Linked DNA regions of Stegostoma tigrinum. The protein of the gene in region 2 interacts with the protein of the main gene of each other region in a pairwise test. Links are inferred from orthologs where the notes say so. Each region holds a gene or a part of one and is shown on either strand. Other genes may lie near its edges.

Evidence for each region. The genes of interacting proteins can lie anywhere in the genome.
Region 1: the proteins of sh3bp2 (region 2) and dbnlb interact in binary tests that used the Homo sapiens proteins (3 or more experiments, as listed by UniProt). The link is inferred for Stegostoma tigrinum from reciprocal best matches to the Homo sapiens genes SH3BP2 and DBNL.

The regions. Positions count from the first base shown.
Region 1 is NC_081393.1:1,036,804-1,047,028, forward strand, and holds the start of dbnlb (drebrin-like b), read left to right. Parts: upstream 1-5,784; 5' UTR 5,785-5,845; coding exon 5,846-5,928; intron 5,929-10,225. UniProt on the Homo sapiens protein: Adapter protein that binds F-actin and DNM1, and thereby plays a role in receptor-mediated endocytosis.
Region 2 is NC_081356.1:130,334,313-130,343,945, reverse strand, and holds the start of sh3bp2 (SH3 domain-binding protein 2), read left to right. Parts: upstream 1-4,822; 5' UTR 4,823-4,923; intron 4,924-9,633. UniProt on the Homo sapiens protein: Binds differentially to the SH3 domains of certain proteins of signal transduction pathways. Binds to phosphatidylinositols; linking the hemopoietic tyrosine kinase fes to the cytoplasmic membrane in a phosphorylation dependent mechanism.

The DNA.
Region 1 (10,225 bases), on a different chromosome or scaffold from region 2:
GTCCCATACAGCTGGCTCCATGTCCACCCAACTCCTGTGCTCAATGCACTAATCAATAAAGGCAAGCATAGCAAATGCCGTAACTATCCTGTTTCCCTGCAACTCCACTTTCAAGGAACTATGAACATGGATTCCAAGGTGTCTTTGTTCAGCAACACTCCCCAGAACTTTATCATTAAGTCCTGCCCTGAGTAGTCTTTCCAAAACGCAGCAGCTCACATTCAACTCCATCTGCCACTTCGCGGCCTAGTGGCCCATCTGATAAAGATCTCATTGTACTGAGGTAACCTTCTTCGCTGTCCTCCACATCTCCGACAAGGCTGAGGAGCAGGTGGTAGACATTCGAATCCTCTACACGATCATGGCTGATCTCAAATAAACTTTACTGACTACACACTAGAACCGCTGATCCCTTCTTTATCAGAACCACCCTAACTTAACCTTGTCAAGATACTGAATGATGCAGCCTCTGCTGCTTTCTGGGACAGAAAAGTTCACTTCACATATGTATCTAAACCCAGGGACCTTTTACTCTTAGATAACAAAGTGTGGGGCTGGATGAACACAGCAGGCCAAGCAACATCTTAGGAGCACAAAAGCTGACGTTTCAGGGCTAGGCCCTTCATCAGATTTTAGTCTGCCCCACATGAGGGAACATTCTCGCGTTATCCACCCTACCAAGTTCCCTCAGGATCAGATCTCCACAAGGTAACCTCTTGTTCTTTTAAACTTCAATGCTAACACAGCAACCTGTTCAACCTCTCATAAGCCCTTCGTTCTGGGAATGAGCTAAGTTAACTTTCTCTGAACTGTGTGGAAGAAAACTATATCCTATACAGCTGCAGTTAAACTTTGACTTGGATATCATATTCCCCTTGCAATGAACAATATTTCATCCTGCTTCCTAATCATTTGCTGTGTCTACATACTTAATTTTAAAAGCCTTGTACCACAACACTCAGATGTATTCTGCATTACCATCAGTTAAATAGCATACTGCTATTCTATTCTTCCTGCCAAAATAAAAACGTTGCTAACTTTCTACATTATATCCCTTCTGAAAACTTGTACCCATTCACTTCACCTTGCTATAATACTTTGCAGATCTACCTCATCTTGGCAACTTTACTTTTCTACCTCCCTTGGTATTATCAACTTTTGATCGCATATGTTCGGTACAGTTATTGAAAAAATGAATATGTATTATAAACAATTGAGAAACCAGTGGAGACCCATGACTGTCAACCCAAAAAGAATCTTGTCTTATTCTCTGCTTCCTGTAAGCCAATCAAATCTTCAGACATGTTTATTTGATACCATCTACACCACAAGCTGTTTGATTTGGCTGCTTATAAAATTACAATTGGACATCTAAAGACACCATAACTACTTGTTTCCATCTATCCATTATGAGAGTCACTTTAAAACTAAAAGAACTGCAAATGCTGTAAAATCAGGACCAAAAACAAAGTTGCTGGAAAGGTTCAGCAGGTCTGGCACCATCTGTGACGGAGAAATCAGAGTTAATGTTTTGGGTCCGGAGACCCTTCCTCAGAACTTGATTAAACAGGCTTTCCTATTCATATAGTGTCAGGTCTGCTGGATAACACCATTTTCCAAGTAACTTTATATAACCTCCTTAATAATGGGATCTACAATATTTCTGACAACTGATTTTTAAGGTAACTGATTTTTAAGATTTGAACATATCCTTGTTTCCAAATCCAGTCTTCTGGTACCTTCCCAAAATGGAAGAAATTGTTGGAGATTACAAAGAAAAGATCCTCTATCTGTGCAAGATAATAAAATGTGAGGCTGGATGAACACAGCAGGCAAAGCAGCATCTCAGGAGCACAAAAGCTGACATTTCGGGCCTAGACCCTTCATCAGAGAGGGGGATGGGGTGAGGGTTCTGGAATAAATAGGGAGCGAGGGGGAGGCGGACCGAAGATGGAGAGAAAAGAAGATAGGTGGAGAGAGTATAGGTGGGGAGGTAGGGAGGGGATAGGTCAGTCCAGGGAAGACAGACAGGTCAAGGAGGTGGGATGAGGTTAGTAGGTAGATGGGGGTGTGGCTTGGGGTGGGAGGAAGGGATGGGTGAGAGGAAGAACAAGTTAGGGAGACAGAGACAGGTTGGACTGGTTTTGGGATGCACTGGGTGGAGGGGAAGAGCTGGGCTGGTTTAGGGATGCGGTGGGGGAAGGGGAGATTTTGAAACTGGTGAAGTCCACATTGATACCATTAAGCTGCAGGGTTCCCAGGCGGAATATGAGTTGCTGTTCCTGCAACCTACGGGTGGCATCATTGTGGCACTGCAGGAGGCCCATGATGGACATGTCATCTAAAGAATGGGAGGGGGAGTGGAAATGGTTTGCGACAGGGAGGTGCAGTTGTTTGTTGCGAACTGAGCGGAGGTGTTCTGCAAAGCGGTCCCCAAGCCTCCGCTTGGTTTCCCCAATGTAGAGGAAGCCACACCGGGTACAGTGGATGCAGTATACCACATTGGCAGATGTGCAGGTGAACCTCTGCTTAATGTGGAATGTCATCTTGGGGCCTGGGATAGGGGTGAGGGAGGAGGTGTGGGGGCAAGTGTAGCATTTCCTGCGGTTGCAGGGGAAGGTGCTGGGTGTGGTGGGGTTGGAGGGCAGTGTGGAGCGAACAAGGGAGTCACGGAGAGAGTGGTCTCTCCGGAAAGCAGACAGGGGTGGGGATGGAAAAATGTCTTGGGTGGTGGGGGTCGGATTGTAGTTGGCGGAAGTGTCGGATGATGTGTTGTATCTGGAGGTTGGTGGGGTGGTGTGTGAGAACGAGGGGGATCCTCTTAGGGCGGTTGTGGCGGGGGCGGGGTGTGAGGGATGTGTTGCGGGAAATGCGGGAGACGCGGTCAAGGGCGTTCTCGATCACTGTGGGGAGAAAGTTGCGGTCCTTGAAGAACTTGGACATCTGGGATGTGCGGGAGTGGAATGTCTTATCGTGGGAGCAGATGTGGCGGAGGCGGAGGAATTGGGAATAGGGGATGGAATTTTTGCAGGAGGGTGGGCGAGAGGAGGTGTATTCTAGGTAGCTGTGGGAGTCGGTGGGCTTGAAATGGACATCAGTTACAAGCTGGTTGCCTGAGATGGAGACAGAGAGGTCCAGGAAGGTGAGGGATGTGCTGGAGATGGCCCAGGTGAACTGAAGGTTGGGGTGGAAGGTGTTGGTGAAGTGGATGAACTGTTCGAGCTCCTCTGGGGAGCAAGAGGCGGCGCCGATACAGTCATCACTGTACCGGAGGAAGAGGTGGGGTTTGGGGCCTGTGTAGGTGCGGAAGAGGGACTGTTCCACGTAACCTACAAAGAGGCAGGCATAGCTGGGGCCCATGCGGGTGCCCATGGCCACCCCCTTAGTCTGTAGGAAGTGGGAGGAGTCAAAAGAGAAGTTGTTGAGGGTGACCGCCCAGTTCGTCCCCTCCCCCCACTGCACCACACAACCAGCCCAGCTCTTCCCCTCCACCCAGTGCATCCCAAAACCAGTCCAACCTGTCTCTGCCTCCCTAACAGGTTCTTCCTCTCACCCATCCCTTCCTACCACCCCGAGCTGCACCCCCATCTACCTACTAACGTCATCCCACCTCCTTGACCTGTCCGTCTTCCCTGGACTGACCTATCCCCTCCCTACCCTACCTCCCCACCTATACTCTCTCCACCTATCTTCTTTTCTCTCCATCTTCGGTCCGCCTCCCCCTCTCTCCCTATTTATTCCAGAACCCTCACCCCATCCCCCTCTCTGAAGAAGGGTCTAGGCCCGAAACTTCAGCTTTTGTGCTCCTGAGATGCTGCTTTGCCTGCTGTGTTCATCCAGCCTCACATTTTATTATCTTGGATTCTCCAGCATCTGCAGTTCCCATTATCTCTATCTGTGCAGCCAGTTCTCTTTAAGATCTTTGGATATAGGCCATTGGATCCTGGCACTTTTGCTTTGGTGATAGTGATTACATTTTTTCGAAATGCATTCCTCCCTATCACCTCGTGACTGTTTGCTTATCTTTGGGAAGACTTTCCCCAGTCTCCTGACAAGTAGACAGCTACAAACCATGCGTTCAAAGTCTCAGACGTCCCCGGAAGACTAACACTAGCTTTCGTTACTTTTTTTACCAGTTGTTGAAGTATTTGCCAAAGTTCTTCCAATCTGTTTTTATGCTGCTGGCAACCTTTCCCTGACACCATCCACCTTTCCTTTAACGTAAAAGCCAGACCAAAGACTAATCTTGGGAGGGGCAGGAAAGTCTAACGTTTCAGGTTGGGGCCCTTTCCTACTCCTCAGAAACTGTCTGACCTGGTACGAGCCTCCAACTCCATACTTTATCAACTCATACTTCCAGCATCTGCAGTCCTTGCCATCTCCTAGCCTTTGGGGTTTGTAAAAGGAAAATTAAAAGCAGTTTTTCATTTCAACTGAACACTGATCTTCACCCAGCTAACAATCCTTTTGTAAGAGTTTTCCCTTGCTCACTGGGCCAAAACCAGAATGTAGACCCTCACAGAACTGGTACCTCCCGGCACCACGAGCAACGCTCTGACCTATTAATTCCGAATCGGTTAGGGAAGGATACCCAGACTGAGGATACACGCCCCTGGGCCCGTCCCACCCTGGGGACAGTAGTTGCGGTGGTAACTCTCCCCTCACCAACAAACCCACGGCCACTCGCCACAAGCACCGCGCCAAAGCCCGCGACAGGAGGACACACCCGGCATCGCCTTGCCGCCCCTCATTGGCCGAGGGGTACACACTAGCTCTCCACTCATTGGAGGAAAAAAAACTCCGTCATCCAAACGACCGTTGCCCGCGTGCTCCCACCCCCAACCACCGCGACCCCTTAAGGCCTCGGCCGAGATGTTCTTCCCATTCGCTGAGGCGTACACACCGTCTCCCGGCTCATTGGCGGAAAAGGGAGTAGGCCCGAAACATCAGCCTCGCGACTCCTCTGCTGATGCTGCTTGGCCTGCTGTGTTCATCCAGCTCCACACCTTGTTATCTCATTAGAGGAAACAGTCCGTCATCCAATCCGCACTATGTTCGTCCCCACCCCGCTTCCCGATTGGCTCTCTGGTGGGGGCGGGAACTGCGCTCCTACGGCTCTGCCCATATGTCACTCAGACTGAGGCACGTGCTGTCTTTCTCGCGCGACGCCCGACGCCGGCGCTAGACTTTCTGCAAAGGTCTTTGCCTCTCACCCTCGCTGCCTACCATGAGCGGCTGGATAGGATTGACGTCCACCGGTATAAGACTGGGTTCAGAGATAATGGGAACTGCAGATGCTGGAGAATTCCAAGATAATAAAATGTGAGGCTGGATGAACACAGCAGGCCAAGCAGCATCTCAGGAGCACAAAAGCTGACGCTTCGGGCCTAGACCCTTCATCAGAGAGCCCCTCTGATGAAGGGTCTAGGCCCGAAACGTCAGCTTTTGTGCTCCTGAGATGCTGCTTGGCCTGCTGTGTTCGTCCAGCCTCACATTTTATTATCTAAGACTGGGTTCAGTTGACCGAACGCATTTACCCCTTTATTATGGAGCCGAGGAGGTGTCGTTGGTTAGTTGACAAAAATACTTTAGAGGTTGGCTTTCAGTTAACAGATACTGTGTTGCCTTTGGAAAGGGGGTGGACGGAGAAGTTCTGATTAATTGCTGGGTTGTCGCTGTCTGAAACAGAGCGTTGGGAAAATGCGGACCCCGAGCCGGCGCGCATGCGCGTTTGGAGTCGCGCCGGCGGCTGTGGGGCGGGCATGTGGCTGCAGTACTCAGAGCATGCGCGGAGGTCCTGGAGAAAGGGTGTGTTGTGCGCCTGCGTGGTTGCCGCTCAGGAAAAATGGCGCTGAACCTCAGTCGCAATGGGCCCGTTCTGCAGGCTGCCTATCAGGATGTGGTAAACGACAAGGCCGCTACTGACTGGTGAGTTGTGGTCAGGGCGAAAGAAGATTCAGTAGGTTCCAGATTGAACCTGGATTTTGAGGAGGGGAAGGGAAAGCGGAAGGTTGCAGGTGGTCGGGAGTAGAGGCTCCTTTTCGAGTTTGTTGAAGGTGTAACATTGACTGATGAAGTTTGGTTGCTGGGTGTGGTGTTCGTTTGTGTGGAGAAGGACTCGAGCCTTTCGACGCCGGGGGTTGTTCGGCCCGTTGTGTCTATGGTGCCTCTCCCGATCAGACTTTGACTCTGTACTGTTGCCATGCCTCCCTGTGCACACATTCTGAGAATCCCTACAGTGTGGAAACAGCCCTTTAGCCCAACAAGTTCCACACTAACCCTCTCGGCATCCCACCTAGATCCATCCCCCTATAAACCCACCTAATCTACACATCCCTGAACATTATGGGCAATTTAGTATGGCCAGTCCACCTAACCTGCTCATCTTTGGACTGTGGGAGGAAACCAGAGCACCTGGAAGAAACCCACACAGACATAAGGAGAATATGCAAACTTCACACTGACAGTTGCCTGGGGGGTAAAATTGAACCCAGGTCCCTCATGAGGCAGCAGTGCTAACCACTGAGCCACCGTGCTGCCAGACAACAGTCAAAAATCTTATCTGAATGTCTCCAGTCACCTTAACTCCACTGCCCACTCGGGTTCTAGCTGCCAGCCACTTGCTGCATGAAAGGAAGTTCTCCTCTTGATGTTTTTTTTGTCAATGAGTTTAATCTGTGACCTCTGGCTTCCATTAGTTGCATTGTTTTTTTTGTTTTTATCCAGACTTGGGATTGGATTTTGAATATGATTTTGAATACCTTTGTCAAATCATCTTCCAGTCTTCTCTGAAAATTACGTCTGCAGTCACTCACTTGCAATCACAATCTTATTTCACTGAAATTCTTATCCCCAGAATCATTTATGGAGTATACACTTGTATTTCCAGAAGAGCTGTGCCAAAGCTACATGGTAGATGGATGATAATTTAATGGGATCCAATAATAAATTCTGTTGGGCTTTAGCTTATGAGAATGACCAGGAGGTGTATATTTGTATTTACATTTGAGTATAAATTAAGTGGTTATAATTGCTGATAATAGCCTAAATTGGCCATGTAGTTGATGCAGCGTAAGTTGTAAATGATAGCAAGATGCTGTGCATTGACTTGGTGAGTGAAACTAAATGTTAAAGAATAAATGAGATATGTGAATGGGTAAAGCAAACAAATTTAAGGGGTGGAGTAGAATTGTTTGAATTAAGTTTGGCTTGTTCACATGAATGTTAATAGATTACAACTTGCCACTTGCGGTGCTATTGTAGGTGCAAAGGTAGTGAGGTATAGAATCTTAGCACAAAGCAGAAAAATAAAGAAAACAAAGTTTTATAAAAAGTGAAACATTACTGTCCTCCTTTGTAAGAAGTAGAAAAGCAAAGGAACACAGTTAATAGTTAAACACAATAGTCCATAAGGACCTGGCCACTTCGAGTTTGCACTCAATGACTTGACCTCTCCCCTGTCACTACTCTGGGCTGGCTGCTGTTCCTGCTCCCACTTCCGCCTTGGAGTGCCAGCTACCCTGGGCTGCCAGTACTTGCTGCCTAACAGCCTGCGGCTGCTCTTGCTGCCAAATACCTTGCAGGAGCAGCAGCCCACGTGCATGCTATTCAGCCACCATCTTGAAAGGGATTGGATATAGATCTTGAGGAAGAAAGGGACTTTAGAACCAATGCAATTAGATCCCTGTAAGTGACAGAACAAGTAAGGTACTATAAGAAGGCATATACAATTCTTTCCGTTTTTAACTGTGGAACAGGAAGTCAGTGTAAAGAGTTATGCCAGGACACTGATAAAGAATTGGATGTTTATCAGAAAACCATGAGTATTGATTAATGCACATATTTGGGATGGAAGACAGTGTCATAAAGCATGCCTTAGGGATTTATGTTGGGACATTCCCTGAGATATGTTACAAGTGTAGGCCGTCTTGTGCAAGGGCATAATTACCAAGGTTGCAGAGGATGCAAAACTATGAAACATATTTAACCAAGGAGAATGGTGTAGAATTTCAAAATGACGGAAGAATTCATGGAATGTGCTGATAGGCAGTTGATGAAACTTGGTGTAGAGATGTGTAAAGTTTGGTAGGAAGAACATGGAAAAATAATGAAAAAAAACTTGAAAAGGGGTGCAGGAACAGCAGAAACTGGATGAATAGGTGGAAAAATCATTACAGATGACAGGACAGTTTGAGGAAAAAAATACTCAAGCAGTCAGTATCCAAGGCTTTATTCACAGGACATAGAGTACAACAGCAAGTAGGTTGTGTTGAACTTGGATAAGTTGCTAGTTTGGCCTCAGCTTGCAGTACTGCATCTAGTTCAGTGTGCTGCATTTAAGAATGGATGTAAAGACGGAGATAGTGCAGAAGATGTTTTTGGAAATGTTTCGAGGATTGAGAAATCTCAGATATGAGGATAGATTAAAGAAATCAGATCTGTTTTATTAGAAGCAAAGAAAGCTGAAAGATGTTTGACTTTGGTCAAGGACTGTGAAAGAAGAACTTGAGCTGTTAAACAAACAGGAAGAACAGGAAATCAGGAACTAGTGATTGCACAACACCAGCCACATGGCAAAATTTGCATGCTTTATGCTGATTTGTTCATGTCGCCACTTGGATTTTAGTTTAACTGCCAAAATGCAATCATGAGCACGCTCCATCTGTGATAACAAAGTGTGGAGCTGGATGAACACAGCAGGCCAAGCAGCATCCTAGGAGCACAAAAGCTGACGTTTCGGGCCTAGACCCTTCATCAGAAAAGGGGGATAGGGAGAGGGGGAGGCGGACTGAAGATGGATAGAGGAGAAGATAAGTGGAGAGGAGAGTATGGGTGGGGAGGTAGGGAGGGGATAGGTCAGTCCGGACAGGTCAAGGAGGCAGTATGAGGTTAGTAGGTAGGAAAGGGAGGTGGGAGGAGGGATAGGTGAGAAGAACAACATGTTAGGGAGGCAGGGATGAGCTAGGGTGGCCTTGGGATGCAGTGGGGGGGAGGGGAGATTTTTGAAGCTGGTGAAATCCGCATTGATACCATCAGGCTGCAGGGTTCCCAAGCGGAATATGAGTTGCTGTTCCTGCAACTTGGGGTGGCATCATTATGGTACTGCAGGAGGCCCAGGATGGACATGTCATCTGAGGAATGGGAGGGGGAGTTAAAATGGTTCGCGACTGGGAGGTGGAGATGTTTATTGCGAACTGAGCGGAGGTGTTCTGCAAAGCGGTCCCCAAGCCTCCGCTTGGTTTCCCCAATGTAGGGGAAGCCACACCGGGTACAGTGGATGCAGTGTATCACATTGGCGGATGTGCAGGTGAACATCTGCTTGATGTAGAAAGTCATCTTGGGGCCTGGGATGGTGGTGAGGGAGGAGGTGTGAGGGCAAGTGTAGCACTTGCTGCGATTGCCGGGGCAAGTGCCGGGTGTGGTGGGGTTGGAGGGGAGTGTGGAGCGGACAAGAGAGTCACGGAGAGACTCCATCTGTGACTTTGGTTTGACTTTTCTTGGTGCCACCTCCTAACCTCGACTCCCATTGCTTGAGCAAAGCCTTGCTTTGTACATCTGCAATTTACTTTATGTTCAGATTGTTATTCGCTGATAAGCAATTTAGTATGTGGGCCTGTTCCTAATCACTGATTACCAACAGGTCTACATTGGTGCTTGTGGTACACGGACAACTTGTATTATTCGTTCTGGTTAAACTGAAAAAGCTTATCTAACCCTACAGTTCCTTTTCCACTCTGAGTACTTCCAGCTTCTTAAATGATTTACATCATTCATCTCAAACACTCCCTATGAGAGTGAATTTTGCATGCTCCCAAAGCTCTGTATAAGAGCTTTCTTCTGAATTCCTTGTGAGGATTTTTTAGTGGCCATTTTATAGCTCTTCCTCTCAAGAAGAAATAATTGTTCTGAATCCAGTCCATATGTATCACAGTCTCAATCTGGCTGCACCTCAGCCTTTTTAAAAGAACAAAATCCAAGGTATTAGTCAAGTATTTAAAGTCTGTTGCTTTTTGCGTTCGTTATATTAAATAAGACTTTCAAAAATAAAGCTGAGATGCAGTGTGAAATTATTTTGTCATGCTGAACAAAACTCGGTAAGTCAAAAGGACTGGTGTGAACCTATAAATATTCACAAACGTGAAGTGCTTATATGATGGTTAACCACAATTCACTGCCCCTCTCAGTTGCTTTGACCCCAGCAACATGTCTGTGCAAATGTTGAAAT
Region 2 (9,633 bases):
ATTGGACATTTCACATCTGGGAGAAAGATTCTGACCATCAACCCTGTCTGCACCCCACAATTTTATAGAATTCTATCAAGTCTCCCCTCAGCCTCCATCGCTTCAGAGAAAACAACCTGAGTTTTTCTGGCCACTCCTTACAGCTCATATATTCTAATCTAGGTGGCATTCTGGTGAACCTCTTCTGTACCTTCTCCAAAACCTCCACATCTTTCATGTAGTGTGGCCACCAGAATTGAATGCAATACTCAAAGTGTGGCCTAACCAAAGTCTCATAAAGCTGCAATATGACATCCTGACTTTTGTCCTCAATTCCCTGACCAGTAACAGCAAGCTTGCCACACGCCTTCTGTACCACCCTATCTACTTGCATGGCCACTTTCTGGGAGCTGTGGACTTGAACCCTAAGATCCTTCTGTCCATCGATGCTGTTCAGAGTCCTGCCATTAACTGTATACTTTTCCTGAACATTTGATCTCCCAAAGTGCAGTATATCACACATAGCTAGATTAAACTCTGTCTGCCATTTCTCCGCCCATATCTGCAACTGATCCATGTCACAGTGTATCCTTTGACAACTTTCTACACTATCCACAAATCCACTGATTTTTGTATCATCTGCACACTTACTAACCAACCCATCTACATTTACACATAAGTCATTTATATTTACCACAAACAGTAGAGGCCCTAGTATGGATCCCTGTGCACTATCACTAGTCACGGGTCTCCAGCCTGAAAACACCCTTCTGTGGGCAAGCCAATTCTGAATCCACATGGCCAAGCCACTGTGGATCCCATGCATCTTAATCTTCTGGATCAAACTGCCATGAGGGACCTCGTCAGAAACCTTACTAAAATCCGTGTAAACAACATCCACTGCTCCATACTCATAGATGACCTTTGTCACCTCTTCCAAAAATTCAATCAAGTTAGTAAGACATGACCTCTCCTGCACAAAGCCTTGCTGACTGTCTCTAATTAGATCATGCTTTTCCAAATGTCTATAAATACTATCCCTAAGAATTCTCTCCAATAGCTTCCCGACCACTGATGTAAGGTTCACTGGTCTACAGCTTCATGAGTCGTCCTTATTTCCGTTCATGAACAAAGGAACAACATTAGCTACTTGCCAGTCCTCTGGGATCTCTTCAGTGGCTAGTGAGGATACAAAGATCTTAGTCAAGGACCGAACAATCTCCTCTTTTACCTCTCTCAGTAACTTGGGGTAGATACCATTGGATCCTGGGAACTTATTCACCTTAATGCTCTTCAAGAGGTCCAACAGCACTTCTTTCTTAATCTCAAAATGCCCCAGCATATTAGCATGCTCCATGCAAATCTCACTATCCTCCATATCCTTTTCCATGGTGAAAACCGGTACAAAGTACTTATTTAGGATATCACCCACATCCTCTGTCTACAAGCAAAAGTTTATCCTTTATCCTTGAAATGTCCTACCTACTCCCTAGTTATCCTTTTGTTTTTAATGTAACTGTAGAATGACTTGGGATTCTCTTTAACCCTACTTGCCAAGGTCATTTCATGGCTTCTTGTTGCTCTCTTAATTCCCAGCTTCAGTGCTTTCCTGATTTCCTTATAATCCTCTCGGGCCCTGTCTGATTTTAGCTTTCTAAACATTACATATGTTTCCTTTTTCTGTTTCGACTAAATTCACAGCTTCCCTCGTGTTCCAAAAGTCCATTACCTTACCATCTTTGTCCTTCCTCTTTACTGGAACATGCTAATGAGCTCTCATCAGCGGCCCTTTAAACAATTCCTATCATGTCCATGCATAAAGTGTCTATTTTTTGTTCCATTTTCCAACACTTGGCCTGTAACTATGTATGCTGTGGCATTTCAAGTGCTCATCTAAATACTTCTAAAATGTCTTGAGTTTTCCTGCGTTTACCACCATTTTTGGCACTGATTTCCAGATACCCACCATCCTCTGAATGAAAGCTGGTTTCTTCAAAGCCCCTCTAAACCTTCTGTCCTTTATGTTAAACCTATGTCCCTTGGGTACTGTTCCCTCTGCTGAGGGGAAAGGATTTTCCCCATGTACTCTCTCTATGCCGCGCAGAACTTCATACTACTCAATCATATGACCCCCTCCCACCCCTGTTCTAAGGAAAACAACCCCAGCCTATCTAGTCTGTCTTCATAGATGAATCGCTCCAACCCAGGCAATATCCTGATGAATCTCCTCTGCACCCTGTCTAATGCAATCACATATTTCCTACAGTGTGGTGACCAGACTTGCACACGGTACTCCAGCTATGGCCTAACTAACATTATGCAGCTCCATTATAACCTCCTTGCTCTTGAATTCAATGCCTTGACTGATCAATTTAGAAATTCCATAATGACTTCTAAACCACATACTTGTCTTGTGATCTTGAAGGATCTATGGACATCCACATTAAGGTCCCTCTGATCTTCTGTACTTCCTAGGTCCTGCAATTTATTATGTATTCCCTTGCCTTGTTAGTCCTTCCAAAATGCATCACCTCACTCTTTTCAACATTAAATTCCATTTGCCAGTGTTCAGCCCATCTGACCACTGTATCTATATCATCCTGTAGGCTAAGACTTTCCACTTCACTACTTAAAGTACCACCAATTTTTGTGTTATCTGCAAACTTACTGATCATAACTCCTCTATTCATGTCTAGATCATTAATGTGTGCTACAAGCAGCAAGGGACCCAGCAACAAAACTTGTGGTATGCCACTATACACAGGCTTCTTGTCTCACAAAAACCCTTCGATCATCATCCTCTGCTTCCTGCCACGAAGCCAATTTTGGATCTAATTCGGCAAATTGTCCAGGATCCCGTGGACTCTATGCTTCTTAATTAGTTTGTCATGCTAGCCCTTGTTGAAAGGCTTACATGTTGACTACCCTATCATTTGCACTACCCTCATTTACACACCTAATCAGCTCCCTGAAAAATTCATTCCAATTTGTGAGAAATGATCTCCTCCTTTCAAACCATGTTGACTATCTTTGATTAATCCTTGCCTTTCTAAATGAAGATTTTGTTTCTGAGAATTTTTTCCAACAGTATCCCTAATACTGATAGTAGACTCACGTTTCCCACTAGCCTGGCTTTGCTCCCTCAGAATAGGTCCAACACTGTCCTATCTCTTATAGGACTTTCTATATGTTGGTGGATGCACACACTCAAGATCAGTGTTTATGCAGATATGCACACTCATGGGTCAATGCAAAAGTCACCATAGCCCTGCTCTCTCATTAAAGAGAAATAACTGGTGGTGGTTTAACCTGAGGGTCGCAATACCTCTGGTAGCAGGAGATCCCTTTATGGTAACCTCAGCCAGTGTGGAAAGTGAACACATACTGTTAGCATCAAAAACCAGCTATCCAGCCAATTGAGTTAACCAATGAACAACAGGACTATGTCTGTAGATGTTCACAAATAGGTCAGCTTGTGTATGCATGGATGTACACACATAGGTCAGTTAGTGTGAATGTAGATGTACACACATGGATCAGTATGTGTGAGTGTGTATATGTAGAAGGATACACACGGGTCTCTGTGTGTGCGTGAGTGCAGGTGTACACACCTGGGTCAGTGTGTGTGTGAGTGTAGATGTACATACATGGGTCAGTATTTGTGTAAGCCTGTGTGCTTGTGTAATGTACACAAAAGGTCAGTGTGCATATGCTTAGATGTACACACGGGTCTGTGTGTGTTTGTGTAGATGTGCACACATAGATGTGTGTGTGTGTTTGTGTGAGTGTAGAGGCACACACTTAGGTCTGTGTGTGTGTGTGCTTGTAGATGTACGCACATGGGTCAGTGTATGTGTGAATGTGTGTGTTTGTGTCGATGTACACATAAAGGTCAGTGTGTGTGTGTGTAAGTGTAGATGTACACACATGGTCAGCATATGTGTGTTTAAATGTACAAATAGGTCAGTGTGCATGTGTTTCTGTAGATGTATACATATAGGACAGTGTATGTGTGGATATATAACAGACGAATCAGTGCATCTGTAATTAGGTGTACGCACATAAATCTGTGTGTGTGGAATACACACGTGTCAGGGTGTATGAGAGTAGATGTACACACATGGTCAGCAAATGTACATACGGGTCAGTATGCGTGTGTTTCTGCAGATGCACACACATAGGTCTGTGTGTGTGCGCGTGTGTGTGTGTATACACGCATGGGTCAGTGTGTCTATGTTTAGATGGACACACATGGGGTCAGTCTATGCGTTCACGCATGTGTAGATGTACACAAATGGGTCAGTGTATGAGTGTATAGATGTACACATGGGTCAGTGGTTGTGTGCTTGTAATGATGGTGTTGGCCTCATTTGACAGCTTCACCAGCATTTTGTTTCCAAACTTTTTGAAATCAGCTCAAATTCACTCCAAAGTGCAAAGCGAGAAGTGATTTGCGGTGCAGAGAGTTGAGGAGTCTTATCCATGATCCTAACTCTAGTTTCTATCACTGACTAGCTGTCAGTCAGTGTGCCCCCGGGTTCTGATGCTGCTCTTTATGTCCAGCGTTTACATGCTGAATGCAAAGGCCAGTGGCAACAGGAGTTTCGTGCCCAGGCTGCTCTCTGTCGGACACCCTACCTTGCCCCCTCGGCCAAACCCCCACCCCCAGGGTTAACTCCGGGGCAGCATTTACTCATTGCACCTGCAGTTTCTAACAGTTGCCCGACAAGGCGTCAGTGAGCTTTTTTTTTGAAAGCATAAAGTCAAACCCGTGCAAAGGAACTGAGTCAGCGGATTCAGTTGAGGAAGTTGAGAGAGAGAGAGAGAGAGACAGAGCAGTGTTGGCTCAGAGACTCAGCGAGTCAGTAGGACTGTTCGCATTCCGGATTTTAACATCGAGCTGCTGCCTTTCTAACTGACCACTCTTATGGAAGCTTTGCTCAGGTACAGTGCCATAGCTAGTGTCTTTCTTTTAATCAAAAAGAGAAGTCAAGACAGGTAGAGTTGAAACTTCAGAACAGAGGGAGAGATGAATTATAAACTCAGAGGCTTGTAGGTTGAGTTCTAACTACGCGTTTGGAAGGTTCGCCTCCAGATGTAGTGAAAATAGCGTTTGTCCCGGACATGAGTGGGACTGTGATCTGTCCCTTGTGCTTATTCAATGAGGTTACAGCCTGTTTACTGAGTGGAGATGAAAAACTAAACAGGGCGACAGAGAGCACAGGAACAGAAAACAAATGTCAATATTTACATTTCATAAATTATTTAAAGAATTTAAGGATTTGATGACCATTCGGCCCAATCCTAGTCTGGAAATTTAATATTAATTTGTTCTATTTTAAAATGAAATCCAGGAAAGGCTAGAAGCGCTGAGTATCCGTGAAGAGAGACTGGGACAAACTCATGGTGCTGTTGAGGACCCCTCACATTTTTTATTCACTCGTAGGATCTGGGTATCTCTGGCTGGGCCTGGAATTTATTGTCCGTCCTTAGTTGCCCATCAGAAGGTGGTTTGCGCTGCAGTCCACATATAGTGGGTTGACCCACAATGGTGTAAGCGAGGGAATTTCAGGATTTTGATCCAATGACAGTGAAGGAACAGGGGATGTATTTTCAAGTCAGGGCGGTGAGTGGCTCGGAGGGGAACTTGCAGGGGTGGTGTTTCCATGTATTTGTTGCTCTTGTCCTTCTAGATGGAAGTGGTCGTAGGTTTGGAAGGTGCTGCCTGAGAATCCTTGGTGAATTTCTGCAGTTCATCTTGTAGATGGTACACACTGCTGTTACTGGTGGAGGGAGTGAATGGTTCTGGGTGTAGTGCCAATCAAGCGGCTGCTTTGTCCTGGATGGTGTCAAGTTTCTTGAGTGTTGTTGGGGCTGCACCAATCCAGGCAAGTGGGGAGTATTCCATCACACTCCTGACTCATGCCTTGTAGATGTGGACAGGCTTTGGACAGTCAGGAGATGAATTAGTCGCCGCAGTATTCCTAGCCTCTGACCTGCTCTCATAGCCACCACATTTATGTGGCAAGTCCAGGTGAGTTTTTGGTCAATGGTAACCCCCAGAATGTTGATAGTGGGGGATTCAGTGATGTTAAAGCCATTGAATGTCAAAGGGCAGTGGTTAGATTGTCCATTATTGGAGATGGTCATAACCTGGCATTTGTGTGACACAATTGTTATTTGCTACTTGTCAGCCCAAGCCTGGAAATTGTCCAGATCCTGTTGCATTTGAATGTGGACTGCATCAGTATCTGAGGAGTTGTAAGTGGTGCTGAAAATAGTGCAATCATCAATGAACACCCCCACTTCTGACCTCATTTAATTTTAATTCACTCAGGGGAATAGGCATCACTGTTTGGGCCAGTGTTTATTGCCCATTCCTAGTTGCTCTTGAGAAGGTGGTAGTGTGCTGTCTTCTTGAACTGCTGAGGTCCACATGCTGAAGGATGACCCAACAATGTCGTTAGGGAGAGGATTCCAGTACTGTGATCCAGCGACAGTGAAGGAGTGGCAATATATTTCCAATTCAGGATGGTGAGTGGCTTGGAGGGGAACTTGCAGGGGGTAGTGTTCCCACCTAACTACTGGCTTTGTTCTTCAAGGTGGAAGTGGTTAGAAGTTTGGAAGGTGCTGTCTAAAGATCTTTATTTTGGAGACTAGGTCATTTATGAAGTAATTGAAGAGGGTTGGGCTGAGGACATGAACGTGAAGAACTCCTACAGAAATGTCCTGGAGCTGAGAAAACTGACCTCCAACGACAATGACCATCTTCCAATGTGCATATGACTCCAACCAGCAAACAGTTTGCCCCCAATGCCCATAGATTCAAGTTTTGTTAGGATTCCCTTATGCCACACTCAGTCATATGCAACCTTGATGCCACTCCTACCTCACCTCTAGAATTGAGCTCTTTTGTCTATGTTTGAACCAAGACTTGTAATTGGCCACATTGGATTTCGAGTCATGGAGATATAAAACACCGAAACAGACCCTTTGGCCCAACTTATCCACGCTGACCAGACATCCGATTCTGACCTAGTCCCATATGCCAGCATTTGGCCCATATCCCTCTAAGACCCTTCCTATTCATATACCCACCCAGATGTCTTTTAAACGCTGTCATTATACCAGCCTCCACCACTTCCTCTGGCAGCACATTCCATACATGCAAAACCCTTTGCGTGAGAAAGTTGCCCCTTAGGTGCCTTTTCTATCTTGCCCTACTTACCTTAAACCTATGCCCTCTAGTTTTTGATTCCCCATCCCAGGGAAAAGACCTTGTCTATTTACCCTATCCATGCCTCTCATGATTTTATGAACCTCTATAAGTGTCAGCCTCTGACAGTTGGGGGAAATAGCCCCAGTCTATCTCTCCCTATAGCTGAAACCCTCCAACCCTGGCAAAATCCTCATAAATCTTTCCTAAACCCTTTCAAGTTTCACAACATTTCTCCTTTGGAAGGGATGTGATAATGGGAATTGCAGATGCTGGAGAATCCAAGATAATAAAATGTGAGGCTGGATGAACACAGCAGTCCCAGCAGCATCTCAGGAGCACAAAAGCTGACGTTCTGGGCCTAGATGAAGGGTCTAGGCCCGAAACATCAGCTTTTGTGCTCCTGAGATGCTGCTGCGCCTGCTGTGTTCATCTAGCCTCACATTGTATTATCCTTTGGAAGGGAGACTGGTTGATGCTCTCAACCATCTCCACCTCAGTTCCACTGATGTAGATAAGAGCTATTTACCCTATCCATGCTCTTCTTTATTTTATAAATATCTTAAGATCACCCTTCAGTCCCTGATGTTTCAGGGAAGAGCCCCTGCCAATTTAGCATCTCTGTGTAGCTCAAACTCTTCAGTCCTATCACCATCCTTGTAAATCTTTTCTGCACCTTTTCAAGTTTAACAACATCTTTCCTGTAGAAGGGTGACCAGAATTGTATGCAGTATTTCAGAAGCGGCCTCATTAATGTCCTGTACAGCTGCAACATGACATCCCAACTCCTAAACTCTATGCACTGAACAATGAAGGCAAGCATGCCAAATGCCTTCATCACCATCATGCCTACCTACAGCTCCACTTTCAAGGACCTATGCTCCTGCACCCTTAGATCTCTTTGTTGGTAACACTCCCCAAGACTCTACCATTAACTGTATAGGCCCTGCCCTGGTTTCTTCACAAAATGCAACATCTCACATTTATCTAAATTAAACTTGGTCTGCCATTTCTCAGCCCATTGGCCCATCTAATCAGCTGTTGTACTCTGAGACAATCTTCTTCACTGTCCACTGCAACACCTATTTCGGTATCATCTGTAAACTTACCTAAATGATGAAAAGCAGTGGACTAGTACTGATCCTTGTGGCAACCACTGGTCACAAGCCTCCAGTCCAAAAAACTACCGTCCACCACCACCCTCTTTCTCCTACCTTCAACACTTTTATATCCAATTAGCTAGCTCCCCCTGGATTCTATGCAATCTAACGTTTCTAACCAGACTACTATGTGGAATCTTGTCAAATGCTTTGCTAAAGTCCGTATAGGCAATGTTTACTGCACTGCCTTCATTAATCTTCTTTGGCCCCCCTTCAAAGATCTGAATCAAGTTCGTCAGATACAATTTCCCATGTACAAAGCCATGCTGACTATTCCTAGTCAGTCCTTGCCTTTCCAAATGCATGTCAATTCTAACCCTCAGAATCCCCTCCAACAACTTACCCACCACTGATATAAAATTCACCGTTCTATGGTTCCCTGTTCTTTCCTTACAGTGTAAATAATGGCACCACATTAGCCAACCTTCAGTCTGCCAGCACCTCACCAAGTGGCTATTGAAGGGGCCCAGCAATCATTTCCCTAGCTTTCCACAGAGAGGTCTGGGAAACAAAGTTCTGATCAGGTCCAGGGAATTTATCTCCCTTTATGTGTGTTAAGTCCTCCAGTATCTGTTCTGCTGTAATATGAACTCTTTTCAAGATATCATTCTTTATTTCTCCAAGTTCCCTGGCTATCAAGTCCTTCTCCACATTAAGTACTGTGTACAGGACAGACCTGGGAAATTTTCCACATTGCTGTGTGGATACCAGTGTTGTAACAGTACAGGAACAGCTTGGCTAGGGGAGCAGCAAGTTCTGGAGCACAAGTCTTCAGTACTATTGCTGAAATGTTACAATAGACAATAGGTGCAGGAGTAGGCCATTCGGCCCTTCGAGCCAGCACCACCATTCATTATGATCATGGCTGATCATCCACAATCAGTCACAATGTTGTCAGGGCCCGTAGCGTTTGCTGTATCTAGCATCTCCAACCATTCCTCACTATCACGTGAAATGAATCGAATTGGCTGATGACTGATATCTGTAATGCTGGGGACCACTGGAAGAGGCCAAGATGAATCATCCTCTTGGCACTTCTGGCTGAAGATTACTGTGAAAGCTTTAGCCATATCTGTTGCACTGATGTGCTGGGCCCTTCCATCATTGATGATGGGGATATTTGTGGAGCTTCCTTCTCCAGTGAGTTGTTTAATTGTCCACCACCATTCACGACTGGATGCGCTGGGGCTGCAAAGCTTCGATGTGATTCATTGGTTATGGGGTCACCTCACCCTATCTATTATTTGCTGCTTATGCTGTTGGTGTGCAAGTAGTCCT